Astyanax mexicanus: one gene and its partner. The protein of the gene in region 1 interacts with the protein of each later gene in a pairwise test. Links are inferred from orthologs where the notes say so. Each region holds a gene or a part of one and is shown on either strand. Other genes may lie near its edges.

The links.
Region 2: the proteins of mad1l1 (region 1) and ubiquitin carboxyl-terminal hydrolase 15 interact in binary tests that used the Homo sapiens proteins (3 or more experiments, as listed by UniProt). The two-hybrid records come from large-scale screens. The link is inferred for Astyanax mexicanus from reciprocal best matches to the Homo sapiens genes MAD1L1 and USP15.

The regions. Positions count from the first base shown.
Region 1 is NC_064428.1:4,219,487-4,227,501, reverse strand, and holds the start of mad1l1 (mitotic spindle assembly checkpoint protein MAD1), read right to left. Parts: upstream 3,508-8,015; 5' UTR 3,360-3,507; intron 1-3,359. Other genes in the region: pmm2 (phosphomannomutase 2), read left to right, coding at 4,776-4,850. UniProt on the Homo sapiens protein: Component of the spindle-assembly checkpoint that prevents the onset of anaphase until all chromosomes are properly aligned at the metaphase plate.
Region 2 is NC_064409.1:16,810,094-16,818,538, forward strand, and holds the start of ubiquitin carboxyl-terminal hydrolase 15, read left to right. Parts: upstream 1-5,363; 5' UTR 5,364-5,403; coding exon 5,404-5,492; intron 5,493-7,693; coding exon 7,694-7,821; intron 7,822-8,021; coding exon 8,022-8,152; intron 8,153-8,445. UniProt on the Homo sapiens protein: Hydrolase that removes conjugated ubiquitin from target proteins and regulates various pathways such as the TGF-beta receptor signaling, NF-kappa-B and RNF41/NRDP1-PRKN pathways.

The sequences.
Region 1 (8,015 bases):
GAGCACCGCTATTCCTCCTATTACACCTCAATGCAGCGCTGCAGTGAGTTTCAAGCTGTAGTTTTACTTCTTTAACAAGATCAAAAATCAAGAAAATCATACCTAGTGCTGCTTTAACGCAGATAAATACAATAACACAAAGGCCTAGTTGTGTTGGTACTCAGACATAACAGAGACCAGAGGTCTAGGTCAAAATCTATATTTTATTTTAACACTGACAACCCAACCAATTAAGGAAAACCTCTTTAGAAGAGGTCTGGAGCAAAATAGAGCTTAAATACCTCTACAATGTAGTGTTCTGTTTCTGTAAAGCTGCTTGTTTCTGTAAAGCTGCTTTGTGCCAACACCTGTTGTAAAAAGCGCTATAAAAATAAATTTGATTTGATTTGATTTGATAGTGCTCTTTACTTTAAAGAGGCTTTAAAGTGGAATGTTTAGATCACAGAGCCTCAATTTGATCCAACCATTTGTAACATTTTAGAAATCGGCAAATAATCACATGAAGGGTGTGCCATATTGTATTGTTCAAAACTATCACAGACATTTCTAAAACAATAAAACAATAAACTTATTGAAACCAGTCTATTTTGTATTTATTTATTAGGGGTGGGAATCGTTTACTATCTCACGATTCGATTCGATTCCGATTTTGGGGGCCACGATTCGATTCAAAATCGATTTTTGATTTAAAACGATTTGAATTATAAAAATTTCTGCTTCTGGCTTATGAATCTTATTGAAAAAAAAAACCCTCCATAATATACACTGGTCCTGGAGCAGGTAATGTGTTACAAAAACAATAAAATGTGCAGGAATGTGGGTCCTCAGTGACAGAGAAATCACTGGGATATCACAATGACGTTAATGAACAATAAATAAATAATAAATAACACTGCTTTATTACCAGGCTACTAGCGGTGGTGTGTAGGTGACGCTGCTGGGCTGATGTGATGATAGCAGTGGAGCGCTAAAGTTCAGGAGCAGCTGCTGATTAACTAGTTAATTTAAGGTCGTTGTATTTCTTCAGAAAGGGGGCAGGAGGTGGAGAAATTAATTCATATGGTCCATTCCTTAATTCCTCTGTGATGAGGAGCTGAAATTAGCTCTGATTAGCTTATTGTTATTTTTCCGTTCCGCCTTAAATGCTGCAGCCCGCTGCCACCTGTAGCGTTATTTAAGGTGGAACTGGAAAGTTAGCTAGTTAGCTAGCTAACAGTTACTGAAACTAACTACTAGCGATCTTTTTTATGCTTGTTATGAAGCATTCTGCCATAAAACATTGAAACTACACGTTAATCTAATGTAATATAGTGCTTGTTCTGCCATCTTACCGGTGATTCTCAAACACCTACGCTCTGTGTGTGTCTGGAAGATCTCCGTTTGAAAGGACAAGCGCTATCCCCAGGGTTGCCAGGTCCAACAAAAATACCCAGCCCAAAATCAGTCTAAAACCCGCCCCTCAGAATCGATTTTGGGACATTTTAAATCGATTCTGAATCGTAGTAAATGAGAATCAAGATTCTTATGTGAATCGATTTTTTGGCACACCTCTATTATTTATCTATTTTCTGTATTTATTACTGTGTTATTTGCTGTACACATTAGTTTTGTTGAATATTGTTGTTCGATTACTTTTTTAAATATTTTTAATTTTGCCAGATTACTATTTTACACATATTATTCGTTACTGTTTACAAAATAGACTGTTTATATATTTTTTTAGTTTCTACTGTATTTATGAAATTAATTCATACTACATAAACTTTTATATTTTGTTTTGCAGTAGAATATTCTTAAAATTAATTTCAAATGTTGGGCTCAGAGGGGTCCAGCAGGCTAAGGTGCTGCCACTGTGATCAGGAGATTGCCAGTTCGAATCCTGTTCATGTAGCTTGTCATCGGCTACCTATTGGCCTTGCTCTCTCTGGGTGTGTAGATGATGCTCTTTCTCCTTATTACTCCAAAGGGTGATCAATCGGCACAAGGCAGCACAATAGTTATCGCAAAAATACCCTCAAACACTGTGATAATATTTTATTGCAATATAGGCAACCCCTATCTCACACAGTAAATGACACAGTCTTGCCTTTAAAAGAAATTGTTGGTAGCTTCCCAGCCTGCATGCATCTGTGGGGCTTATATGGGTGGAATGTGGGCTACGTGGTGAGTTTGAAGTGTTACTGGGACCCAGGTGGGCTTCCCAAATGGCCCACCTTTTCAAATAGTAAAATACGTTATTTACATTCTGAAAATGTGTGGGCTTTGTAATCTCCTACAGGACATTTGGAGAAGCTGCCCTTTTTTCTCTACACTTCCACATCAGTAACAGAAATCAACCCAAATTCTGCAGGTTTAAAAACAGACATAAAAACTAGACAAACATAACGAAACCAAGGATTCGGAGGACAAAGTGCCAAATGTATAATGGTTATTCATTATATTTGTAAAGTTGCATATTTACTTTTTTTAAATACTTTCTATTACAGCTACAATTAGCAATTATAGTAACGTTTATTATCAAACATGAAACCTTATTATGTAATGCCTGAATATAAATCTTCAAGATTTAGGTGCGTAATATCAGGCAGAAAATTTACAAACATTTTGGCCTGTTAAGGGGTTAAGCTACTTACACAGGCCTCACACGGAGTTGCTAACTGAGTAACTAATTAGCTAGCTAACCTACCTAGTTTATTTAGCTAGTTAACTCTAGCTGTATGGCTAAAACTACTTACTTCAGGCAAAACAGCGGTTTAACCCTAACTTTTAACTAAATTTACGCGGTAAAAACTTTTAGTTTGAGCTGTAGTTAGCTAACCTAGGCTAGCTAGCTAACTTACCGCAATGTTAGCTAGTTAGTTAGCGCACTGAAGCCTGACTTGCTTCATCTTGAAAACAGCTTAGCTAGTTAGCTAGCTAATGTTTCCAGAAAAGAAACTGAAATACTTGAAGGCATTTCGCGTTAGCTAATAAATAATTACGCTAGTTTAATAGTTAGCTAGCGAATTCAAAACGCAACAGAATTAGAAACACTAGTTAGCTAACTAGGTTAACTAACTATATTCGCCTTTTAGCTAGTTATTTTTCCTGTAACGTTCCAGTCCACCTTAAATGACCCGTCAGTGCGTATAAGTGAACTATCATATATCTGAACCAAACTGATAAAATATTTAAGGTGGACCGGATAATTCCAACACCAATACACATGTTTTATAGCCACAACAAATTAGCCAGCAGACTCCACATCGTTTCTATCAGCTGGTAGAAGCAGAGACAGGTCAAAAACGACCCGAATCGCACACGGTGCATTTTCCAGCTTTTCTCCGTGTAAAGTTTAAATCTTTAAAAGATAAGCTCGCCTGAAGTCTGAAGCTCAGCTCTGAATCTGAATCTCCCTCCTTTCCAGCTCCGAGCTGCTGCTGCTCTTCCTCTATGCTCAGCCGGAGCGGATAATCCCCTACAGCGGGCCGAGTCCGCCACCTAACGAGCGGGACGCGGCGTTCACTCTGAGGACAAAAATAATGGGACACCGCCTCATTTAATTTAAGCGTAAAATAGTTTATCCTGCTTCTTTAGGAGTAACTGTCTCTGCTGTTCATATAAGACTTTCTACTAGATTCTGGAGCATTTCGATCAAATCAAATTGATTTATAAAGCGCTTTTTAGAACTGATGTCACAGAGCAGCTTTACATAAATGTGAACGCAGAACACAGAACCAGACAACATTGAGCATACAATACAGAACCCTTAGTGAGTGACAATAACAGGAGTGAGTGACAATAACAGGAGTGAGCGCCAGCAACAAGAGTGAGCGCCAGCAACAAGAGTGAGCGCCAGTAACAGGAGTGAGTAGAGTCCTCTCGTTTAGTGATTTATTAGTGTAAATATTGGTTAATGTTAAACACCCTGTCCAATTCTGTTTGGTTAATAAATTGCGATGATAATAAATTTGATCAGTTTCAGGGTTGGGTCTTCTTGCTAAAATAAATTAACTTTGCATATTTTAGAAAAATAGAATGTGCGTTCATATATAGTATTTGTTTGTCAACAATATTAATTATTTAAACATGCAGTCAACAATTACTTTAGAATAAACACTTTCTTAAAAGAAAATGAAAGGAATTAGTGGACATGCTTTTTAAATGTTACATGAATTTTGGTAAAAGGACTGAGAAAAAAATGTAAACATCTTTGTAAAAAATTGCTACATGCTACATTTAAGTGCTTTTATAACTTGATTAATCTTAAATCTGTTTTAATTCTTTTCTTATCTTTTTTATAATAATGATTATTTTTTCATAATCTCCCTTTTTTTTCAGTATTAATATTATTATTACTTATGAGGTTTGTGTCTAGTACTTAGTAAACTGTATGGCTCTTTTTTGTTGAAGGGCGGGATTTTATTCATAAACGGGCTCCTTGATTGGCGTTAAGGGAAATCCCATTCATACATTCCTCAGGCCCCGCCCCCTGTGAGCTTGAAAGGTATCTAGTTTATGATTTGTACATTACTGTATTATTATATTTTTGTAATGTTTTTAAGCACCAACATGATTCTGTAACATTTGTAATGTATAAATAAATATGTAAAAATATATATATAAAAAAACTAAAAATAGGCCCCTCCCTTTCCTCCGCGGCCGAACTGTAGTAGTGGGTGACGCGGATGTGGAGGACGTGTCTGCTTCCTGCTCTGCTGAGTTCTGCTGTTCTGTCTGTTCTCTCACTTCTTTCACTTCTCTCTGAGTATCACTGATCCTTTTATCATCTAAAGATGAGCCCCCCGCAAACAGACACCTCCACCCTCTGTCTGTTCGACGTGGACGGGACCCTGACAGCAGCTCGGCAGGTAAGATCACTCACTTTAACTGTAGTGTGTTCATCTGCGGAGGAGCTGTATTGGCGGTGGGTAACCCAGCTCCAGAGAGTAAAAATCCAACCCAGGGTTTTGTACCAACTGCCCGTGCTGCTCAGCTGAAGCTGAGCTTAATCATCAGAGCTGCCCACACAGTTGGTACAAAACCATGGATTGGATTTTTATGTTCTGGACCTGGGTTACCCACCTCTAGTGTATATGAATGCTTTAGCTACTGTAGTAACTTAGTATCAGGTTTTGAATACAGATGGGTGAGTCTCAACTGTCACCATGTGTGCACACTATATAGTGCACTTCCCTGCTGAAAACAAACAGCAGGCTCAGATCTCAAGCTGATTGAGCTGATTCAACCTTTTAGAATAAGACTAGGATGGGATATGATGATTTAACTGGTCTATGATCAGCCTTTCCAAAGTATACAACCACCATGACCAGCATGGCCAACTAAGACCACTTGGTAAACCAGCATTATCAAATAAGTGTGATCAAATGCAACATGTAACTACTATACTGACCAAAAGCTAGTTAACCAGCTAGCTTCCCAATTATAGTGGGTGTTTTCACCAGACTGACCAGCAGTTCAAAAACCTTATCAATCAAAGACCAACTTAGACCTTCCAAAACCAGCTACCAGCAGAAGCTGGTCTTCAGACTAAAATAGACTGTAAATAGACTGTAATGAGCCATTCCACCAAATGGGTGCCATTTCTGTCCCCAGTAAACTACATTTATAAATGTGCACACAGAATAACAAAATACAGGTGCTGGTCAACGAATTAGAATAATTTGAAATAGTGCAATCATGAAATTCTTTGAATGCATTTTTTGTGCAGAAAGCAAATCAGGTGTTCACCGCACCTGTCCTACTCGTTAGACTAATCACAGAACTCGTTACCTGGAAAACAATTTGCTCAGCTGAGCTTTCCAAAAGGCCCATTTAGGCCATTTAACTGTGACACTGTTGTTTTATTGAATTAGAATAATGGAGAAAGCGTTTCATTGAATTAGAATAAATGCTCGAATTTTTGTTTTCTCCGAAGAGTGTTCACTGTGCAGTATAAAGTCAGGGTTGAGTAGAATTTCTAAGTTGTAAAATCAATCATGGGTAAGCAGCGCGACCTCTCAACCGGAATAGTGGCTCAAATTCAAGCCCTTCGCCAACAAGGCTTGACCCAAACTAAAACTGCTGAGCAGCTCGGCATCAGCCAGTCTTCCGTCTGCAAAGCTCTCAAGAAAAACTGCAGCAAGCGCACCAACTGTTCCGGCGTCCGAAAAACTTCTGCTCGCGACAACAAGCAGCTGAGAAAGATCACAGTCAGCAACCGGTTCAAGTCATTGACCTAATTGCAAAGTAAGATGTAATAAAAACATTAACAAAAAACTACTTAGAATATTGAAAAAATAGCATTTGTTACCTGTCCCCACTTTCTAACTATAATTATTAAAATCCTTCGGAGATGTATTTTTTTTTGCATTGTTGTGTGACTCCAAATCCAATCTATACTTTATTTTTTTTTAATATATAATAAATCCACAATATTGAATATACACGTTTTATTTGTGTCGCTGGGTTTCACTCAGTCCTGTTACTGTACCACATTACCCTGATCATCTAAAACATCAGGAACATTCTACAACAGGAAGTCACATCTACAACAGGAAGTGACATCAGCTGGTTCTTCTGAAGACTATGGGAAGACCAAAATTAAGATTATTTGTTTTTCTGTATATTTAATTTTATTGTACTTAAATGTGCCCAGTGCCCTTATCTGCCATTTAGCTCTTTTTCATGTTTTTGCTAATTCTATGCTAAAAACTCATTCCTGTTACTTTAACAGGAGCGAGTTCCAGTAACAGGAATGAGTGCATTAACAGGAGTTATTATTTATTTTATTATTTGAACATGCAGTCAAACATTTCTTTAAAATAAATACTTTCTTGAGAGAAAACATAAGGAATAAGTGGACTTGTTTTTAAACAACAAGCGAATGGCACCCATTCGCTGGAATGGCCCTAATGCTGTTAAACTAGTGTAGCAGTATGTGGTTTTGAACGCAGCCCAAAGTGAGTCTCAGTTGTCCCTCTCTTGACTACATAGTGCACCAAGTAGAGCATGTTTCTGTCTAAACCTGCGTTTGGGAAAAGAACATGATTAATCATTGACACCAGATGCAGTCAGTCAGCTGAGATATTTAGGAGGATGGTGAGAGTCATGACCTTTGTGATCTGTTTAGTCAACCAAGAAAACCAGCAGAAAAATAGTTTAACCTGGAGACACAGTGATTTATACACAAGCTGCTGTAACTGCTGATGCCATCAGAAGTGGCACTCAAGTATTAGTGTTGTTAAGAATTAACAACATTTTGGGATATGGACCACGCCTCAATTTCCTGAGCTCCTCCCCCTAGTCCTACCTCCGAGGTGCTCCTCACTTTGTGACTTTTGACCTTGCACCCACCTCCACTCCATCATCACCCTCATCTTCATCAGCTAGCTGTGGGGGGACCTGGCCTGAGAACCTTCTCAAGCTGTTCTGAACTGTACCCCAAGCAACATAATCACAGTAACACATGTTTCAGTTCTCTGAAGCTCATTTAATATCTAACATAAAATATCGGATGATTGTACTCTCTCAGTTAAATCTCTCAGTTAAATCAGTTAAAACCCCGATTATAGTATCAGTTCTGTGAAAAGAGATTTACTGCATTGGTTTAGGATGAGTTTATATCATTATTCATATATATATATTCATTGTTAAGTGAACTGGGTGCATTCACATGAGACCTGCTGTTCCAGATTGAGGACTGGGATTGTGGTCTGGCTTGTTTAACTGGTTAGTAAAAGTATCCCAGTGATCCACCTTTCGCACTGGTCAGACTCCCTACAGCTGTCAGTCTGGAATGTGGGCGTGTCTGCTGACAGGAGCTGGAAGCAGTGTAACTTGTTATTCAGTCAATATCAATAAAGCATGCCTTTTGTGTTAGCAGTATAGTTGTTTAAATTTCATGTAAACTATATTTAACATTTTGTTCAAGATGTACACAGAATGAACACATTATTTCAAATATAGAGAAATGTTAACTTTCACTTTAAATCAATTAATAAATCTTTCTGTGGTTTAAGGGTGATCCTCATTTT
Region 2 (8,445 bases), on another chromosome or scaffold:
TTTGACTGCTTAATATGTGCCTTATAATCCAGTGTTCCTTGTGTATGAAAATAGACTAGAAAATAGATGTTTATAAATAGTGCACCTTATAGTGAGAAAAATATGGATACTTAAGCTTTATACAAAAAGTAAAAACAAGCAAAAAATATAGCCGCAAGCGGCAATCATCGGGTTCAAGCACCAACTTGCACAATGGTGCCTACTGGAGCATTGAATGGTGATGTGTAAGAAGGTCTAATATGATTGGAGATGCCCTGTCACATTTAGAAATTATCAAGTTTTTCACCTGTTATTAATGTTGAGCAGAGGCCTTTCAACCTGATCAGTGCTTAAATTCACATGTAAATCTAGTGAACTTTGTAGGATATTCATTAAGTGAGTTAGAACTAGTCAAAAGGTGTCTACATGTTATTGGTATTGATCAGGTGGCTTCAACCAGAATGTTCACAAAGTGGTATTCAGATTGACCTTTGAACCTTTGCAGAACAAGCTGAAATGTTTGACCAAACAAGTTTAAATTAACACAAAGGAGTGAATGTTCTGATATGACATGTAATTACGAAGTTATTATAAATCTAGTTCTGAATTAAATGGCGCTTCATCAAGCACCAACTAGCACAATGGTGCCTACTAGAGCATAGGATGGTGATGTGTAAGAAGGTCTAACACAATTGGAGACATTCTGTCACATTTAGAAATGATCAAAAGTCTTTCACCTGTTATTAATGTTGAGCAGAGGCACAAAGGAGTGAATGTTCTGATATGACATGTAATGTCAAGTTATTCTTAATCTAGTTCTGTATTAAATGGCGCTTCATCAGAGTGATATTGTACAGAGGTCTTTAACATTGTGAGATTACAGCAAATACTGCAGAGTTACAGCAATTTAGGTTAGAAATTCCAAGGACGCACAGATTGCTTGATGCCTGGAGAGTATTGTATGTGAAATTTTCACAAATGTTTTTAATGAACATTTACCTAGAGACTCTACAGTGTGCAGCAAGACTGAAATGGAGGTGATAGGCCAAATATCCAGAGAGTAGTTTCAATATAGCTATTTTCAAACAATTAGCAATTATGAATGAACAAAGCACTTTTTAAACATAGTTGTATTGAGAAATTTGTCAGAGCCACTGTACTAAATATGGCAAAAACAATTAGATGTCAAAATAGTACAGCATGATTGACATATACTCGTTTTTTTGGAACAGCGCCCCCCAGTGGGCGGATTGTTTCAGCACTTTGCAGGTCACTACAGTGTCTCCACCTGAACATAACTGCCAAATATCATCCAGATTGGGCAACATTCAGCCTGCCAAAATGTCTGCTGAATGCTGATTGGCTGATGGTGTTCAGCCATGTTGATTGATTAAGTTGCCCTTTGAACATCCTTTAGAGGCTGTATGATAGATTCTGCATGCAAAGTTTCAACTTGCTAGGTTGCACGGTTGCTGAGAAACAGTGCTCCAAATTTACCTCTTGAAGTGAATGGGGCATATATCCGGAAGGACTAATTTGCATATGGCGGCCATATTGTTTACATATTTCAACTTTTTCTTAATGAATATTGAAGCGCATGCTCTCACGAGTGTTTTGATACCAAACATGCCAGGATTGGTCAAAATTCCTAGGACTAGTTTGCAAAAGTAGGTTTTGCATATTATGCAAATTAGCAAAAAATCTATATAGACGGAAGTGCATGGTCCAAATTGGAAAGTTGTTGGTATTGACCCAAGGAATCCAGCAAAAAATAATTTTGAATGTAGGTCTTATGGTTTTTGAGTTATTGAGAAAATTGTGAAAAATGAATTTCCTTGTTTATAGCGCCACCACTTGACCAATCAGTGCCATTTTTGTTGTGCACCGAGATGCACTGATCCTACATCTACCTACCAAGTTTCATTTCTCTATGACTTACGGTTTAGGCTGCACAACTGTTTTTTCAGGAGAAAAAGAATAATAATAAATATAGCCGCAAGCGGCAATCATCGGGTTCAAGCACCAACTAGCACAATGGTGCCTACTAGAGCATAGGATGGTGATGTGTAAGAAGGTCTAACACAATTGGAGACATTCTGTCACATTTAAAATGATCAAAAGTCTTTCACCTGTTATTAATGTTGAGAAGAGGCACAAAGGAGTGAATGTTCTGATATGACATGTAATGTCAAGTTATTCTTAATCTAGTTCTGTATTAAATGGCGCTTCATCAGAGTGATATTGTACAGAGGTCTTTAACATTGTGAGATTACAGCAAATACTGCAGAGTTACAGCAATTTAGGTTAGAAATTCCAAGGACGCACAGATTGCTTGATGCCTGGAGAGTATTGTATGTGAAATTTTCACAAATGTTTTTAATGAACATTTACCTAGAGACTCTACAGTGTGCAGCAAGACTGAAATGGAGGTGATAGGCCAAATATCCAGAGAGTAGTTTCAATATAGCTATTTTCAAACAATTAGCAATTATGAATGAACAAAGCACTTTTTAAACATAGTTGTATTGAGAAATTTGTCAGAGCCACTGTACTAAATATGGCAAAAACAATTAGATGTCAAAATAGTACAGCATGATTGACATATACTCGTTTTTTTGGAACAGCGCCCCCCAGTGGGCGGATTGTTTCAGCACTTTGCAGGTCACTACAGTGTCTCCACCTGAACATAACTGCCAAATATCATCCAGATTGGGCAACATTCAGCCTGCCAAAATTTCTGCTGAATGCTGATTGGCTGATGGTGTTCAGCCATGTTGATTGATTAAGTTGCCCTTTGAACATCCTTTAGAGGCTGTATGATAGATTCTGCATGCAAAGTTTCAACTTGCTAGGTTGCACGGTTGCTGAGAAACAGTGCTCCAAATTTACCTCTTGAAGTGAATGGGGCATATATCCGGAAGGACTAATTTGCATATGGCGGCCATATTGTTTACATATTTCAACTTTTTCTTAATGAATATTGAAGCGCATGCTCTCACGAGTGTTTTGATACCAAACATGCCAGGATTGGTCAAAATTCCTAGGACTAGTTTGCAAAAGTAGGTTTTGCATATTATGCAAATTAGCACAAAATCTATATAGACGGAAGTGCATGGTCCAAATTGGAAAGTTGTTGGTATTGACCCAAGGAATCCATCAAAAAAAGAATTTTGAATGTAGGTCTTATGGTTTTTGAGTTATTGAGAAAATTGTGAAAAATGAATTTCCTTGTTTATAGCGCCACCACTTGACCAATCGGTGCCATTTTTGTTGTCCACCGAGATGCACTGATCCTACATCTACCTACAAAGTTTCATTTCTCTATGACTTACGGTTTAGGCTGCACAACTGTTTTTACAGGAGAAAAAGAATAATAATAATAATAATAAGAAAAATCTTAGCAAAAACAATAGGGTTCTACGCACCTTCGGTGCTTGAACCCTAATAATAATAAGAAGAAAAATCTTAGCAAAAACAATAGGGTTCTACGCACCTTCGGTGCTTGAACCCTAAATATTCATAAACCTACAGGAAATAATAATTTAGTGTGGTTTTACAAATTCCGAACAGTTTTTTTTTAACTTGCCAAGCACAGAAGCTTTTAAATTTGGCTCAGTCCCATTTCTCTTTTGTACCCCTACCCATTGATTTTAAGTGTAACCCATCCCTTTAGAACAAGGTTAACTAGGTAATTTTAGGTCATTGTAGGTCTTCAGGAAGGGGGCAGGTGGGGCAACAACTAATTGTTATTGCCCATTGCCCAATTCCTCTGTGATGGGAAGCTGAAATTATATTTTTTTAGCTTTTATTTCGTTTTTCCGATCCACCTTAAATGCTGCAGCCACTGCAGTCTGTTGCACCATTTAAGGTGTTACGGGAAAGGTAGCTAGAAACTAAGACAAACTGCTTATTGTTTTTTTTATTTGTTTTTTTTATTTTTTTTATGAAGAATATAGCTACAAAGTATTGAAACTTTAACATTAAACTATGTTAATATAACTAGTAGTTATTGTAAATTTTTTACCAAGAAAAATACTTTGTGGGTTTCTTTGTTCGTTTGTGCTGCCATCTTGCCAGTAATTCTCTGCCACCTTTTTTAATGTGTGCCTCTGAAAATCTCTATTTGAAGTGCCATATACCTCTAACATTTTACCCCAGGATTTACCCTGTGCAGGTAAGTTCTGTCTACCTGTAATAGTCAAAGGTGAGTTTCTGTGGCATGAACGAAGATGCAGTTCTATAAACTGAATGCAGTGTCTGTTGTGAGAAGACTACTCATGTTCCCATTTATCTTCATAAGGAGAATCTTCAAGAGATCAGGTCACATGCCGCAGTTCAGAGTGACAGCAGTTGTCTGGACCTGCCACCTGTCAGATGTGGGGGTTTTGAAACCTCACCACGCCTTACGGAGCCTCGTCCTTGTGTCCCACTGAGTTTCGGAGGGGCACTGGGTGATGTATGGGTTTAGGTTAGGGCAGAAGGGAGAGCTGATTGGGCTGAGCAAAGTAGCTCTGATAGCAGTGAGACGCAGATGATTGGACGTCAGCAGGAGGGGGCTGTATTATTGATTAACTGATTGTATATTGTGATGTGTCTGCATACCAAAGTGCACAGGCACATCATCCTCACCTTTAGCTCAGTTGAACCTGAGAGGGCGCTGCAGAAGCAAAGGAACTTCAAAGGGAACACATGTCAGCTATTAATGGAAATAATATGGTTTAGGGTTTAGTGCCTGTGGTTTGCTGTTGTAAGCTCTGTGCTGGCCAGGCAGTTTAAGCCACTGATTGGCTAAATGTATGTCTCTCTAGAAGGATGCACGCAGGTGATTGGTTACATCTTTTATTTGTCAGATTTTTGATAATTAGTGAACCCTGTCTCTGTCAAACAAACAACAAATAATTAAACAAAGAAGCAAATAAAAAAGAACAAACATAAATAAGCAAACAAATAAATACAGGGGTATGAATGAATTAATAAATAACTACATTTAATTTACAAATTTACATTACCGTCATAAAAATAAAAGTTTTTTATTTAAACGCAACCAATTGGTTAACCATTTCCATCAGTCCGTTACTGCTCAAGCCTCTGATTGGCTAAATTCATATCTTGTGTCCAGAGCCTGCTTGTGTCAAACGCATCTGTCTGTCAAGAAGAATACACGCAGATGATTGGTTCAACATTTCCATCAGTCTCTCATTCCTGAATCCGCTGATTGGCTAAACCCGTGTGAATTCACGCAAATGATTGGATCAACATTTCCATAGGTCAGTCGTCTCTGCATGTCTTAATCCTTTGATTGGCTGAACTCTCCTGTTCGTCAAAACCTACGCTAACCTCTGATTGGCTAAACCTCAGCCTGGCGTCACAGTCGCTCCCCCCACTTTACTATCCCACAATGCAGCGGGCGATGCCCAAGGAAAGATGGCTGAGGGAGGAGCGGCTGATCTGGACACTCAGAGAGGAGAGATCACAGCGCTGCTCAAGACGCAGCTCCGGAGAGGGGAGACGTGGTGAGAGCTGACCGCCGACCTTCCGCGCCTCCGGCCCTGCCGCTGCCGCGCCTAGCCGCCGCTGAGCGGAACGGGCAGCAGCGCGGAGGAGCCGTGTTGACAGCTAGTCACCGTTAGCCGTTAGCAGTTAGCTGGAAAGCGGAGACCGACAGCGGGCTGTGTGAGGGTTATTCAGCAAAACCGCAGACCCCCAGCACCTCCACAGCCTGCCCGGTTCCGGGGGCTGAGAGCCGGCCGACCCAACGCGCTCCTCTGTGGGTCTGGAGTTAGCTGGCACTCGCTAACGGGGCCATTCAGGGCGGAGACGAGACGAGACGCGAGGAGCACCTGTCATTTAGCTTCCCAGCTGCCCCCAAACATCTGAAGACGTTGTGTTAGCTATCTGGTTAAATGTAGGTCGAGACGTCGGGCGACCAAAATGCAGGGCAACGTCTAATGCCAAAGTCATTTGACATTGCTAGAGTATATTAACCTAGAGGATGTATTGGTGTTGTGGTGTTAAGTACTTGTCAAAGTTACCTAAATTAAACGTCTTCCAAACTTCACATGCCAATGTCACGTCAACATAACATACCACCATTTTGTTGTAACACATGAACAACATGTAATCATGGTACTGTCTACAAAACGTGAGGTTCTAAGATAGATTTACGTTGATGTTATTCAGCATTTGCCTATCATTGGTTTTTGACCAAAGTCCAACGTCTTTAAAACGTCAGGTACCAACATCATATTGACATATCATACCAACATTCAGATTTAAGTCATTAAAGCAAAAAAAACGTGTAATTTGGGGCCAGCTGGTATGGAAACTTAATTTAACGTCTGTCTAATGTTGGGACGTAATGTAAACCTGCTGTCTATCAAATTGACACAACATACCTATATTTAGGATTTAGACAAAGAAACAACAAAAAACAAAAAAATATAACACTCATAATGTTAATATCCACAAAAAGTGAAATACTAAGGTGGAAAGGTGGAAAGACATTGCAGTGGTGATCAGTAATCAGAATTCAGCCACTACTGTTAAGATGTTTTTGTTGGATATGTGATTTCCAACCAGAATTTAATCATTAAACAGATTTTCGTTTTGAACAAAACATCTGTCTGATGTTGAAGCTTTATGTCAATCCAATGTAGGTTTTTGACAGATATGTAAATTTGATTTCTAACCAGTAAAATGTTTGGTTTTTGAAGTCTTTGAAGCCTGATGTTAGAGTCCAACGTCTTTTTGACGTCAAATTGATAAATTGTGTCTGCTGAATTTCCTCTGCAGCTAAGCATTTGAAATGCGTTTAGGCTGATTGGCTCTGGAATCCCATGCTCAGATTGTGTATCTGCCTAGCTCTCTAGCCCTCCATCTAGCTGTCTAGCTCTTTGTCTGGGTGTGTATTTACTTTTTTATGCAGTGCTTATTTATCTATCTCTGTATCACGATATCTAGATTTTGCTGTCTACCTATATATATATATATATATATATATATATATATATATATAGCTTTTTGTCCAGCTGTCTATCTACCTGCCTGCATTGTTTGTTGTCTAGTTGTCTATATACTCAGCTATCTAGGTCTGTTTTGCTGTTTATCTACTTAGATGCTAGGTCTTTATCTAGTTATTGGACTACTTAGCTATAAAGCGCTGGAAAAAAAATAAGAGACACTTAAAGTTATCCAAAAGCAATGTGTAAGACTGGTGGAGGAGAACAAGCAAATATGCATAAAAAAACTCTAGGAATATAAATATTTGTGTTATTTGCATGATGTGAGGTCTGAAAGTTCGGCATCTTTCTCATTTTCTGCAAATAAATGCTCTGAATGACAATATTTTTATTTGGAATTTGGGAGAAATATTGTTCGTAGTTTATAGAATGAAACAACAATGTTCATTTTACTCAAACATTAACCTATAAATAGCAAACTCAGAGAAACTGATTCAGAAACTGAAGTGGTCTTATAATTATTTCCAGAGCTGTATATGTCTCCATATAAGTGTCTGTCTAGATAAATCTGGATCTAGCCTTCTAGCCAAATACAGATCTTGCTCCCTCTCTAGCTGTTTTTCTATTTGTACAACTGACTGTCTGTCTGCATAGCTATTTAGTTAACTGTCTATCTGTCTGGTGTGTGAACATGATTGCAAATGCTATAATTGGTTTACCTAATTGTAACCATTCCTATCCCTGGTTTATCTCAGGTACTTAATAGACAGTCACTGGTTCAAGCAGTGGAAGAAATATGTGGGCTTTGACAGCTGGGACAAGTATCAGATGGGGGATCAGAATGTCTACCCCGGACCGGTGGACAACTCGGGTCTCCTTAAAGGTTATTAACTGTTTCATATTAGTAAACCAATTTTTTTTTTGTTGAAAGTGTTACCTTAAAAATGAGCGATCATAAATAAGCTTTATTATTTATTGATCCAGAATGATGGTGGTGTTTTAGGAAACATCGTCCATATACTATAAAACATGAGCTCTTAGCCACACAATTGATCAGTGCTTATCTTTGCATTTTGTTCTTAGATGGCGATGTACTTGCCATTAAAGAGCATCTTATCGACGAGTTGGACTACATCCTCGTGCCCACTGAGGGCTGGAATAAGCTAGTGAGCTGGTACGGTCTGACCGATGGCCAGGAACCCATCGCCCGGAAGGTACGTATCTAAATTTGAGTATTCATGCTATGATGGGCTGTGTTATACAGAATGTGATGCAGGCAGTGTGATTTGAAAACGGTGCCAGTTCACGTGAAACCAGGGCTGGTTTTATTGCGCCTGTAATATCGGACTTAGCATATGTCCTAGTTGTGGTTGTGGCACATTAGATTTGCATGGAATCACACAGGAAGCATGTTCTGCTATTTCTGTCATATTAGTTCCCTTTATTAGAATAAAAGTTGCTGTGCTGTTTTATAATGCTGAGTATATTTAAGGATGAACATGATACA